2 linked regions of the Caenorhabditis elegans genome follow. The protein of the gene in region 2 purifies or fractionates together with the protein of the main gene of each other region. This does not show direct contact. Each region holds a gene or a part of one and is shown on either strand. Other genes may lie near its edges.

Region 1 (7,883 bases), on a different chromosome or scaffold from region 2:
ACTGCGCCACGCTACGAACCAGAGATGGTCTATCAGCATTTCGGAGATGAGGAGACAATCTTCGGCTACGAAGATCTCGAGGTTACCATCCATCACACAGCTCAAACCCTCTACAGCTACATAAACGTGAGCTATTCCTCAAAAGCGAAAAACGAAAACGGACTGGAGGCCGATGACGTCATTGATAAGCTGGTTCATCCAGACGTTCGTCCGAATGTTCTGGTTTCGGGAAAAGAAGAATTCCAGCAGAAGCTCATCAAACAGAAGGATTTCAAGCCTTTCGGTGAGATGGTACACAAGTTTGAGCTGAAAGGAAAGAGCTACGAGGTCTACAAAGTCGCCGAGCAAACCGAAGAGTTCAACCTTTTCCTAGAAAGAATCCAGACTCTCGGCATGTTGTGAGTGCTTAAAAAATAAGGATTTTCCTACAAAATTTTTTTTTCAGCTTCATCGAGTGCTGCTCACTGACAGATAACACTGAAGACAATTGGCTTCACTATTTTATGTAAGTTGAGAAGATTTCGCGGCGAATTCCAGAAATTACAAAAAATCGAACGCATTTCAAATATTTTTCAATTTTCCAGCTACGAACGCTGCGACACCGGTGAAGGAGATGGAAGTACTGTGGCCAACGTGGCTGGCTACGCGACACTCTTCAAATTCTACAACTACATTGACAGGATCCGTCCACGAATTGCACAGATGCTATTGCTCCCTCAATACAGAAAATCTGGAATTGGAGCCAGTTTCATGGAATCTTTCCTGCGAGATCTTCGTGCCTCTCCAGAAGTTTTCGACGTAACCGTCGAGTCTCCCGGAGATCAGTTCGTCAGCCTCCGTGACTATGTGGATTGTGTCAACTGCATGACACTGCGGGAATTTGCACCGGAGAATCTCAAGAGGGGATACTCGGACAAAATGCGTCAGGCCGCACTGGAAAAGCTCAAGATTTCCAGACAACAAGCCCGTCGAGTCTATGAAATTTTGCGTTATCGTGCTACAAATAAGAAGGATAAAGAAGAGCTGAAAGCGCAGAGAATCGATGTGAAACGTCGGTTGTATGCACCAATGAAGAAATCGGATCAGGACTGGAAGCGTCTGAATCTCGCGTTGACACCCGATGAGCTTCGACAAGCGGCCTGTGGACAAATGGATGAGGAAACCAAGTTCTCGACGCTCTCACAGAATTATGATCGGCTTATGGAGGCCTATCAAAAAACTATTGATCGAATTGAGCAGCATCCAAGCATTTTTTAATCGTTGTATCTGTATCTTATTTTAATTTGAAATTACATGTGGGATTTTTGTATTTTTTTTAAAGCTAATTACCACGAAATTCGTCTAAATTTGCTGTAAATTTGCAAAATTCCCTTGCCGTTATTACCCATACGCGAAATTTTGCGCCAAAAGTACGGTATCCGGTCTCGAAGAGAAAAATGTATGATAAATGCGAAAAAGTGTGCGCCTTTAACGATTTTTATCAGGTTTTCATAGTTTTTCCCAGCATTTGTTAAAGTTTTTTTGGGTTTTGATTGTGATCTACGAAAAATCGACGAAAATCCGCAATAGCAAAAGTTTGAAGCTACAGTACTCTTTAAAGGCGCACAAATTTTCGCGTTTAACAAACATGTTTCGTTGCGAGACCAGGCACCGTATTTTTGGCGTGAAAATCGCTTTGGGTCCTATTTGACTTATTGTGAATGTTTCATGAATTTTTCCGCTCTCTAAACTCTCAGCTAAAAATCGAATTCCCAGTTGAAAATCCCGAATATATTTTTATCTTCTTATATATTATTCTTCAATTACAAAAAAAAAACTCACCGAAATAAATGATCTCTCACTCTATCCCAGCAGAATGGACGAATTCTCATTTCCATTTCAACCATACGACATTCAACTCAATTTGATGCGAGAAATCCGCCAATGCATTGAACAACGGAAAATTGGCATTTTCGAATCTCCAACAGGCACCGGAAAGTCGCTCAGCGTGTTGTGCTCGACGATGACGTGGCTGGAAGCTGAAGAACTACGAATTTCGACTGATTTGAGCACACGGCTCGGGGAGGTTCACACGAAAATCACGGAATGCGATAAAATCACCACCGCCGACAATTGGGAGACGGCAGTTCGTGAGAAAATGCGAGCTCAAGACGTAGAGACGGAGATTTTGGAGCAAATTCAGAGTCGGGAAAGGTGTTGGAAATTGAATAATTATTCTTTTTTAATTTTTTTTTAAATGAAAAAAATCATTCAGATTGCAGTCACGAATCGATCAAGCCCGGCGAGGAATGGTCGAGGTCTCCAGAAAGAGAAAAGCCCCGGCCAGGGATACGGATCAGTTTCTCGAACCTCAAGATGTAATAATTGAACTTTTATCCGGAAATTCACATGTGGCTGACCGTTTTTTCGGAAAATTTCAAGATTTCTGACTAGAACCTGGCTTTTTTTTTCTGGAAAAACCTTGAAATACGCAAAAATTCCAAATTTTTAAATACAAACCTTCAGTATTGCTAATTTTTTGAGAAATGTGAAAAAATGTTAACAGTATTATATAGCAAGATAGATATAGAATAGATTCCACAATATGAATAGATACACAATAGAATAGTTACATAGTAATACATAGAATAGACACTTGATGCCTCACTTTAAAGGCGCACGCTGTTTTCTGAGTGGGTCTCGCCACGATCCCAGCCACAGTAGTCGCTACAAATTTGAAGTTTCATAAATTGAATATGCCAGGTTTTCAAGAAAATGTTATTCTAGAAGTTTCTATTATAGAAATAATACAGAAATATCAAAATTCAAAATAAAATTTCCAGGAAGCCGCCCCATCGGAAGAATACAATAACGACGAGAAAAGTGAGAAACAGCGGGATTCCGATTTTTTCGATGATGTCGATGAAGAAGAGGAGAAGCCACTGAAATGTCTGAAAGTACAGAATTTATTTCAATATTTCGGAAAGTGCAATCGCGCTCCATAGCCAAATGAAAGTGCAATTCAAACTTTTTCAAGCATTTTTGTGACAGTAACTGTATATCATTAAAAATTGGAAAATCTTGGGTTTTACCGCCAATACCTAACGAGACCCATGTTTCGGGGGCAGAGCGTTTTTATTTTTTATTTGGCTATGGAGCGCGATTGCACTTTCATCTCAAAAGTCGCATATAGCTGTCATATTATTACAGGAACAAAAAATTCTTAGAATGCGTATTGGGCAACATATTTGACGCGCAAAATATTCCGACGCGAAAACTACAGTAATCCTTTGGATGACTACTGTAGCGCTTGTGTCGATTTACGGGCAATATTTTTGAAATTAATTTCTTTTCAAAAAGTTACAACGGCTCTCAATTTTCTTTAATTTTTCGTTTTTAAAAATCAATAAATAAAAGGTTTTTGTAAATCGACACAGGAGCTACAACAGCAATTTAGAGGATTACTGTAGTTTTCGCTTTGAGATATTTTGCGCGTCAAATATGTTGCCCAATACGCATTCTCAGAGTTTCGTGTTACCGTAATACGTCTTTTTTTTTTTTAATGAAAGTTGTCTGAAAAAAATAATCGAAATTAAGTCGGAGAATTTTCAATTTACCGAACAAATTTTTTTAAATGAAAATTTGGTTTTTTTGTAAATTTTCAAAACTGCATTAAAATTTTTTTAATTGAAAACTGAAAAATCAATAATTTTTTATTCAAACTGTCTTGAAATTTTCTGAATTTTCCAGATTTTCTACGCATCACGAACACATTCTCAATTGGAGCAACTTGCCGAGGAGCTCGCAAAAACTAGATTTCAACCCAGAATAGTTACATGTGCCTCACGAGGAACATTATGTGTAAATGAAGAAGTCAAAAAGTTGAAATTAAATCATTTAATCAATGAAAAATGTATGGAATTGCGAAAAAACGGAATGTCGGAAAAGGAAAAAGTTCAGAAATTGGAGAAAGGAACCACGAAAAAGACAAAAACCTGTGCGACTTCATGCGAATTCTACAATTCCACACAAATCGAAGATGTAGTGAATGGAGTCCTCTCGAACAAATTGAAAAGTACACTTGAAGTGTCAAAACAGGGAAAACTTTCCAATGGATGCCCATATTTTGCTACAAGAAAATCTGTTCCACAGTGTCAACTTGTTCTTCTTCCATATCAAGTTTTGCTTCATGATGGAACACGAAAAGCATGGGGAATTGAATTAAAGGATAATGTTATTGTACTCGACGAGGCACATAATGTGTTGAATACTATTAGTTCGTTTTTTTTTCGGAAATTGGAAAAAGTTTCGAAAAATGGCTTCAAAAATTGTTAGAATAATTTTTTTCAAATTTAAAAATAATCAAAATTTAATTTTTTTCAATTTTCTTCCAAAAATTTTTTCTTCATATTTTTTAATTATATGTTTACAAAAATCACAGTTTTTCATTTAATGTTTTTTGTTCAAAAAATTTCAAAAAAATTCAAAAAACTCTACTTTTCAACTAAAAATAAATGTTTTTCATTAATTTTTTAAATGAATTAAATCTTTTTCAAATTTAACTTTTTTTACAGAACTCGACTTGAAAAACGTTTTTTTTTTCAAAAAAAATTTCAAAAACATTGAAATAAAATCCTTATTTATTCCAAAAAACGAATAATTTCAATTTTTAGTTTTTAAAAATACGGAAATCACTATTTTTCTTTTTTTTTTCAAAAAAAAAAAAACGAAAAAAAAATCTGCTTTTCAATAAAAAAAAATTTTATTTCAAAAAAGCACATTTTTCAATTTAAAAAATTCAAAAAATCACAATTTTCAAAATATTTTTTTTTCAGAAAATCGCTAATTTTATTCAAAAAATTTTCAAAAAAAAAACAATTTTTCAATATACAAAAATTTCTAAAAATCACTGAAAAAACTATTTTCCAATTTAAAAAATCGTTATTTTTCAATTAAATTGTTTCCTAAATAATTCCCTGAAAATCACTTTAAAAAAATTTCCAAACCTTTTTTTTAAAAAAAAAACCTCCCGGAAATTTCCAATTTTAAAGGAATTTTTTTCAGGTTCCCTCTACTCTGCTGAAATTTCCACGAAATCCCTAACCCTCGCACTGCGTCTAATTCGAGAATACAATGCTCACTACAAGCTGAAGCTTCTGGCTCATAACCTACTTTACATGAAACAACTGGAATCACTCACCAGCAAAATGCTCATTTTCTTAAATAGCCAATCAAAAGAAGATGTGATGACGATGGCTCAGTTGGCACGAAATTTGAATATTCTAGAAATTAATCTGTTCAAATTGGCCGAATATATGGAGAAGACGGATTTGTGCAAGAAATTTCATGGATTTTACATGAGATTACAGAAAGAAGTAATTAATTCCAAAAATCGAAAAATTCACTTTAAAAAATTAAGAAAAATACCTCAGAAACAGAAACAAATTTTCAAAAAAAATTAAAACGTATCATAAATTCAAACTGAAATTTTCATTTTTTACGAAAAATATCAATTTTTTCATAAAAATTTGAATTACCTATCATTTTTTTAAAGTATTACAATAATTTTTTTCTAAAAAGTATTCAAAAAAAGCCATTAAAATTGAAAATGAAGATCCAGGAAAAATTGATTTACCGTGAAAATTCCGAAGCCTAAAACCTAGAATCCAATAACTTTTCCAGGAAATCAAGAAAGAAAATGAGAAGCCAAAACTAACCGGAATCCAGAAACTCATGGCTGCAAAAGAAGCGGAGCCTGAGCCAGAAGCTGAGCCTCTTCCACCGCCAAAACCCGTTCCTTCTCCACTTTTTTCGCTGAAATCGTTCATCGACGCATTAACCAACAAATGCGAAGATGGCCGAATTATTGTGGAAAAGTCGGCCACCGAAGCAAAGTATGATAGCAACGATTTTTGAACGTGACCGTGAAAAACAAATCGGTGGCCGAGTTTTGGGTTTTGCTTTTTTTTTTTGAAAATCGACTTCCCCGCAAAAGTGTGCTGATATTTATTGAGACTATTTTTCTCACATTGGAAAAATCGGTCATCAATAGTTTTTCTCATAAAAAACTAGGCAAGCATATTTATGTTGAGTAAACTTCGGCCACCAATTTTTTCAGAATAGGAAAAGTTCGGCCACTGACTCCGTTACCAAAATGTGAAAACTAGGCCACTAGTTTTATTCGGGCAGAACTCGGCCACTGCTTTTTAATACTGAAAGTTCGGCCAGCTAATTTTATTTGAGTAAAATTCGGCCACCGATTTTTTTTTCCAGAAAATCCGAAAACTTTTCAACTTCCAGATTCCGATTCATGCTCCTAAATCCGGCGGATCGTCTTTCCGAAGTGGTCACTTCCGCCCGAGCCACAATCCTCGTCGGTGGCACAATGGAGCCAGCTCAGCTTCTCGTGGAGACCCTATCCCGTGGATCGATCGGCGCCGACTCAATCCGTCGTTTTTCGTGTTGCCACGTCATTGATGATTCCCAGCTGCTCGCGGTAACCGTAGAACGAACTGTCGACGGAAAACCATTCCAACTCACATATCAGACACGTGGCGCCGATACCACGTTGAGATCGTTGGCCACGTCAATTCAGGCCCTGATTCCGCATATTCCGAATGGAGTTGTGATCTTTGTGCCGTCATACGACTTTTTGTTCAATTTCCAGAAAAAGATGAAGGAATTTGGGATTTTGAAGCGGATCGAGGTAGTTTTCGTTTCGAGACCCTTCCTGGGATTTTACCGTAGAATAATATATTTTTGTTAAAACGAAAATAAGAAAAAATTCAAATTTTGCATCAAATCTCAATAAATATCCAAAAAGTACGCTAGAGCACATTTGCATTGTCTTTGTTTTTTTTCAGGAAAAGAAGGCCGTATTCACAGAAAGCCGGCAACCAACATCAGACGTCTGGGACCGATTCAGCCGAGCTGCAAAAACATCGAAAGGAGCCATTCTATTTGCTGTCGTCGGCGGTAAAATGAGCGAGGGAATAAATTTTTGTGATGAGCTCGGACGGGCGGTCATTGTTATCGGATTACCGTATCCGAATAAGACCAGCGTCGAGTTGAGGGAACGGATGAAGGTAATAGTGATGGACTCTAAAAATATGGAAAAGCAGATTTAGCGTAATTTTTCTAAAATGGAAATCCTAGACCAATTTACAGGAATCCTTGGTCAGCGAATTTTAGACCACCAGTTGATTTTTAAATTCTAGGCCACCATATCACTATAATTTTAGGCCACCCATTACTATATATCGAGGCCACCCACTAGATTAAGAAATTCTAGACCACCCCATTACAGAATTTCTAGGCCACCATATCACTATAACTCTAGGCCACTACTTCACTCAAATCATAGGCCATCAAATGACTACAGTTCTAGACCACGAAATCAGAATCTAGGCCATCACGTGAATCAAATTCTAGGCCACCTATTGAGCTAAATCCTTGGAAATTGTAGGCCACACTTTACTCGGATCCTAGGCCACCACGCAAGAACACAAAAGGGCCACCCTCCCCCCAATAACTCAAAATTTCAAAATGTTTTTTTCAGTTCCTCGACACTCAAATGCCGAACGGTGGAAACCTGCTCTACGAATCTCTATGCATGCACGCCGTGAATCAAGCCATCGGTCGAGCAATCCGTCACCGCCGAGACTACGCGGCCGTCTATCTCTTCGACGACCGCTACGCAAAGGAGTCCACTCGGAGAAAGTTGTCCACGTGGATTGGAGATCGCACTCAAGTCAAGTTGGGATTTGGCGAGATTATTCGAAAGACGAGGAGCTTTTTTGAAGCGAATTCTAAGAAATAATTAGAATATTTTTTCTTCATTTTTTTGGTGTTTTTTATTTTGCCCGGTTGCTCTAAAGATTCCTCATTCCTTGTGTGTGTGACAT
Region 2 (5,612 bases):
TTTCCGATAATTTTTAAATGAACAGCCAACATTTGTTGATATACTGAATCCTATTTCAACACTAGTTTATCATAAAATAAAAAAAATATCTGAAGCCTCTGAAACCCCTTAGAAGTTGGGCTTCCATTGTAGCTTTTCAGGTTTCAGATTAATTTCTCTTATTTGATAACTGGTTTCCGAAGCCCATGCCTATTTATTCACTTAACAATTATAACATCTCAAGAATCAGATTTTCAATGTCGTATCTAATTGTGTCATTAAATGTCTAAAAGTCAAAAAGTGTGTCTTGCCGTCGAAGCACCTACAGTACATTTAGAATTCCCCTTTGATAAGAAAAAAACAAAAATGATGTCAGCCATTGTAAAATGGGTACGAAAAAACTTGGAAACTACGAATTTCTACCCCATTAGGCTAAATTAGAAAAAGATGGACAAGGAACAATTACGTGCAAGACGAAAAATACGATCTGAATAATTTAGAGGTAATATGAAATTTTTTTGCAAAACAGTTAGGGTAGGTGGTGCACTCTTGATTATTTTTGGACTTGCAACTTGAATGTTTTCACATAACAACTTTTGAAAGGTATAAAAATTTGGTGGGATTAACCTGGTTTCATTTAAAACCAAACATTTCCGCAAATTTTTGAATAATTTTTTTCAGAAATGTTATGTATATTCTACAGCTGTCTACTGTTGAACAGTAAGTAATCTTTGAAATCCGGAACTTCATACTGTGTTACTAATTTTTGGAAAAGAAATTCCAATATCTTGCTTTTTTAAAAATAATTTTTTTGAAATTATTGGGTGGCATATCGAAAAGTATTTTTCAAAGAATACACGTACTTCACTATCAAAAATACAACTTTTAAGAAGTAATCAGTTTTTTTAGTGGTTGTTGTTTTCAATAATTTGAAAAATTAGTTTCGAATGTTATTTTTCAAAACTTGTTATTTAAAAAGTCACTTGATCCTTTCCTTTCAAAAATAAATAGTAAAATTTGAAGTACAGAAAATATTTAAAATAGTAAAGTGCTTATCATCTTCAATCAAAATTCGATAGATTAAAGATTATGTATCATGTTTTGAGAAGTTTATCTGATTAGACTTCCTGATGAGGTCGTCAGCTGACAGATAATTAAGTAAAAAATGTGGTTATTATGGGTAAATGTATTACCTGAAATGATGAACTTCACTGATAATTCCAGAACACCCCAATTCTTGTTTAAAAAATTCAGACAAGTAAATATTACATTTGACATATAATAGGGAGAAACTTAACCTCTGTAAAATGTCACATTTAAATCTAAATCCCCACACAAAAAAGTAAGTAATACATTAGAGTAATTAGATGAACAAGCAAACGATGAGTGCTTTTTTTGCAAGTCTTGTATTCCAAATAATAACTTGTCTCAATTCTACTTCTTCCTTCCTCTTTTGTATTTTGTTGTGTTCGGTTTCACACATACATCTCTCCCCGCTGACTAATGGTCTAATAATGGATTGAACGGGTTCCAAATTGAGACCCACTTTTGACATTTACTAGTAACTTTGTCTACATTCTTTAACTCTGTTCTTGACGAAAAATCATCAGTTTTCCCTCATTTTCTCGACTACTTTTTTTCTTGAAAAAGTGAAACGGTTTTCAGACAAATCCACCCTCTTAATTGTTACCAGATGAACTGATTTCCGCGTTTCGGAATATATTCTATCAGTGATGAAAAATCAAATTAATTTTCAAAAATGGTTGATTATTTTAACAATTATTTCCGGTCTCACTAGAGTTAGAAGTCAGCTGGAAGATATGTCAAATGTTGGAAATATTGGTGAGTTTTTAAGCGTTTTTATCCATAATGTTAATTTAAAAGCACTTAATCATTTAATTATAAATACAGAACGTTAAAAGGCAACCTTCGCCTGCTTCGCGCAAACAACTCAGTTCTTCATGTTTTAATTAAAGTTGAATTACAGTAGTAGTCAATAATTGTTTTTAAGTGTTCATAAATTCCAAATAATTGTTTCAGTTCTCACACAAGATCCACGAGACCAGGATCCATTCTATCAACATATGTATGCAAGAGCTGAAGGTATGCCATTAGCAGCAGTAAATTCATTGGTACACAACGTAAAGCATCAATCGGAAGGAAACTTCAAGATATGGGATCAGTTGCCTTCTGCTAGATTGCGTGGATATTCGACAACTACAAAAGATCCAAAAATCAAAACAACAACTCCTCCATGGGTACGAGGTAGGCACCGACCACGACATGGAGGACACGATAAAGCTCCTTGGAATCAAAAGTGAGTTCAATGTGTATTGTCTGCTAAGCATCGCCATTTTTTAATGTTTGGCTAATTTATAAGAGTGTAAGAAAGTTACATTTTCTTTCCTTCTCATACCTCTGCTGCAACTTTTTTAGCTACTGGAAAGTTAGTAAATTGGATTGTTTTTGAAATATTTCTTAAGATTCAGCGATCCAGCTCACAGCGATCATGATCATGGAGTGGATTATGATGAACAAACCACTCCTCCTCCACCAAGGCACCGAGGAAGGTTTGTTTCCAGTTTCAGAGGAATTCTAAACGGGATATTCCATATTACAGACGACCTACTGGTGGCCGAGGCAGACGACCTCCAACTCCTCAGGCGCCCGTCCGTGTGCCAATGGGGTAAGTGAAAAAGTGTTTTTATACCATACTTCAATTGTTACAGAAAACACGAGGATCTTGTAGAAAATGGTGATGGCGGCGGGGGATTTGTTGCTGGAGATGAGGGCACAAGGCATGCGGTGGTTGACTCAGAAGGAACAAAACATGGTGCACCCGACACAGAAGGTACCCGTCACGATGCACCAGATTTAGAAGGAACTGAAAATTCGGAAGGTGTTAAAGTAACAACGAAAACACGTTCTGGAAGAGATGGAGGAGGGTTATTTGCTTCATCGGATGGTGAAGTAAGTGTATTAAAATTTTAAGCAGTTTTGGAAACTTTTGTTCAATATGAAAATTTTTTCTCAAATCACATATTTTTGCTTAAGTTTTGGGGATTCCACTTCCGTTTAGGGGAAATGTATCAAAAAATGAGAGAGGCTAGAGGGAACGTCCCCCATAACTGCCATAGCTTTAAGATTCAAACTCGTTTTACTATGTAAAATCCATAACTTCCACTTCATGTATTCCAGGGCACTAAAGTGCAACCTGGAGCAGGCGGTGGTGACGGTGAAGGTACAAAAGCTGGTGAAATCGATTTGGCAGAACTGAAAAAGGGTGGTGGTATTCATGTGAGTTATTGTAAATTTGGGATGGTTCACGAATATTATTGCAGAGAATAAGAACAGAAGGAAAAGGAAAAACAACCGGTCAAGATAAGACTGATGAGGATGAAGATGAGGATGATGACGGTGCGAAGCATGGTAAAAAGTCAAAATCAAAAAAGAAAAAAGGAAAGAAAAATGACGATGACGAAGATGATCACAAAAAAGGAAAGAAGGGAAAGAAAGGGAAAAAAGGAAAAAAGAAGAATAAGGATGATGATGAAGATGAAGATGAGGACGATGATGAGGATAATGGAGATTTGGAAAGAGTTGATGGAATTGTAAAAATACCAAAAGCAATTGATGGAAATACAGATGATCATGAAGAAGATTATGAAGATGAAGATGAAGAGGAAGAAGATGATAATGAGGATGATGAGAATTCAAGGAAGAAAAAGAAAGGAAGAAAGAATGGTCGAAAAAAGAATAATGAAGATGAAGAGGAAGACGATAATGATGAAGATGATGATGGAAATAATGAAGAGAATGGATATAAAAAGAAACAAAAAAGGAAGAAAATCAATTGTCCACCACCACAAAGAGAACATTATCAACCACCACAACCACTTCCACAGAACTATAATATTCCACCCGATCAAGTACCATATCCCCATCCAGATGCATATGGCTACACGTTTCCAACAGTTACTACAACAACCACAATGCCTCCATCATACCCGTATTATCCCGGAAAAATAGGAGTACGTTCAATTTCAAAACCTCTTTCAAAAAATGTGTTCAATTCGAGCACTTAGATTTAGAAATAGAAATTGATCCGATATTTTTAGAGCATTATTTACTATTTTGGAGCCCGTAAAACTGCTCCAAAAGGTTTAGAAAAAAATCATACAACATTTTATCCCCAACCTGAATTTTGCGATTTTCATCCCACAGTTACGGTACACAGTCTTGACATGACAAATTTGGGTTAAGTGAGAAAAGGTGTGCAGTTAGTCGCGTTCAAAAATTTCAAATAAATGAATATTTTCGATCGAAAAACTATGAAAGCTCGTTGAAAATTCCGCAGAAACAAGAATTCAAAATTACAGTAATCTTTAAAGACGCACACCATATTGAACTCAAAACAAAATTGTCGTGTTGAGACCAGGTACCGTAGTTTTGCCACAAAAATCGCAAAATTTTACTTCTGGTGAATAAAATGTGTTGCCCTTGAGATAGCATTCTCTATCATTTTAAAATTAAATACAGTTTTATTTTTTCAAAAAATCATTTCAGGATGATTATCATAACTTTGAGAGTATGGATTGTAAGCAAGAACGGGAGAACTACGAAGAAAATGAAGATGGAGATGATTACTCGGAAGAGAAAAAACAAAAGAAAAAGAAGAAAAAATCAAAGAAAAATAACAAAAGAAAAGGAAAGAAGAAGAGCAAAAAAGGAAAGAAAGGAAGAAAAAATCATTTGAGTTTAGACTTCCTTACGTCGAAAGAGAAAATCGATCAGGGTAAGAGAAATCGAGGGCAGATTCTTGATGAATTACATGGTAAATTACCAAGAACTAAATATTCAAAACTTATTAATTCCAGCTGGTCAAGATTTGAAGAAACTTCAAAAGTCTTCCAAATCAGGAGAATCAGGTGTTGATTGTGCAACTGCAGTCGACGAGTTCCCCATGAAATGTGGTGCTTGGAAATCTGCAGGATTCTGTGATACAAATCAAGCAACACAATTTTTATGGTGTCGTAAAACCTGTCTCTGCTCATCGACAATCAGCACAACAACGAGTTCGTCAAATACCGAAGAATAGCTGAAACTGCCATATAATGATTTTTTCTTTCCGACCTCTATATAATAAATAAGTTTACAATCGTTGCTAATTGGTTTCCAAAATTATCAAAACCCGTTCGTTCGCCTTTATCTGCATGAACCAGAAGACGTATCAACTGGCCTGGGAGTTGGATCTAATTTCTTCATCACGGGTAGAAAACTATACACTTGCCGACTAGCATTTAAGTGAAGCAGCCGACTTATTGCGAGTTCCGCGTATTGCTATCTTCTCTGTGTCGGTATGCTCCTCCCCCACGAGGAGAACTTTGATGAATATAGAAAGTTTGGAAAGCATTTCTGTGGAAACTTGAAGAATTTCAAGCGCATTCCAAAAATAATTTTTTTGAAAAATATCTCCCATAACGTTTCATTCTAAAAACTTTTTTATTGTATGATGTTTTAGTAGCCTCAAACCCATAAAATAAACACGTTTTGAAAAAACCTGAAAAAAAAAACCAATATATACTTAAGAATAATGGCACAAAATGATATAAAAGTGTGGTACTAGTAGAACT

Evidence for each region. Proteins that work in one complex are often made in the same cells at the same time.
Region 1: the proteins of C17G10.6 (region 2) and chl-1 fractionate together in Caenorhabditis elegans (co-fractionation; one large-scale study listed by BioGRID). This does not show direct contact.

What each region holds. Positions count from the first base shown.
Region 1 is NC_003281.10:10,399,209-10,407,091, reverse strand, and holds the start of chl-1 (ATP-dependent DNA helicase chl-1), read left to right. Parts: upstream 1-1,851; 5' UTR 1,852-1,855; coding exon 1,856-2,193; intron 2,194-2,254; coding exon 2,255-2,357; intron 2,358-2,822; coding exon 2,823-2,936; intron 2,937-3,729; coding exon 3,730-4,255; intron 4,256-5,043; coding exon 5,044-5,354; intron 5,355-5,661; coding exon 5,662-5,873; intron 5,874-6,279; coding exon 6,280-6,685; intron 6,686-6,842; coding exon 6,843-7,064; intron 7,065-7,537; coding exon 7,538-7,798; 3' UTR 7,799-7,883. Other genes in the region: hat-1 (Histone acetyltransferase type B catalytic subunit), read left to right, coding at 1-398, 446-505, 585-1,257. UniProt on the Caenorhabditis elegans protein: Required for normal cell proliferation and chromosome stability. Plays a role in DNA repair during replication.
Region 2 is NC_003280.10:5,599,395-5,605,006, reverse strand, and holds C17G10.6 (ShKT domain-containing protein), read left to right. Parts: upstream 1-1,712; coding exon 1,713-1,821; intron 1,822-2,019; coding exon 2,020-2,296; intron 2,297-2,468; coding exon 2,469-2,549; intron 2,550-2,599; coding exon 2,600-2,665; intron 2,666-2,708; coding exon 2,709-2,949; intron 2,950-3,177; coding exon 3,178-3,276; intron 3,277-3,320; coding exon 3,321-4,010; coding exon of another isoform or gene 4,011-4,064; intron 4,065-4,501; exon of another isoform or gene 4,502-4,545; coding exon 4,546-4,813; exon of another isoform or gene 4,814-4,856; coding exon 4,857-5,077; 3' UTR 5,078-5,099; downstream 5,100-5,612.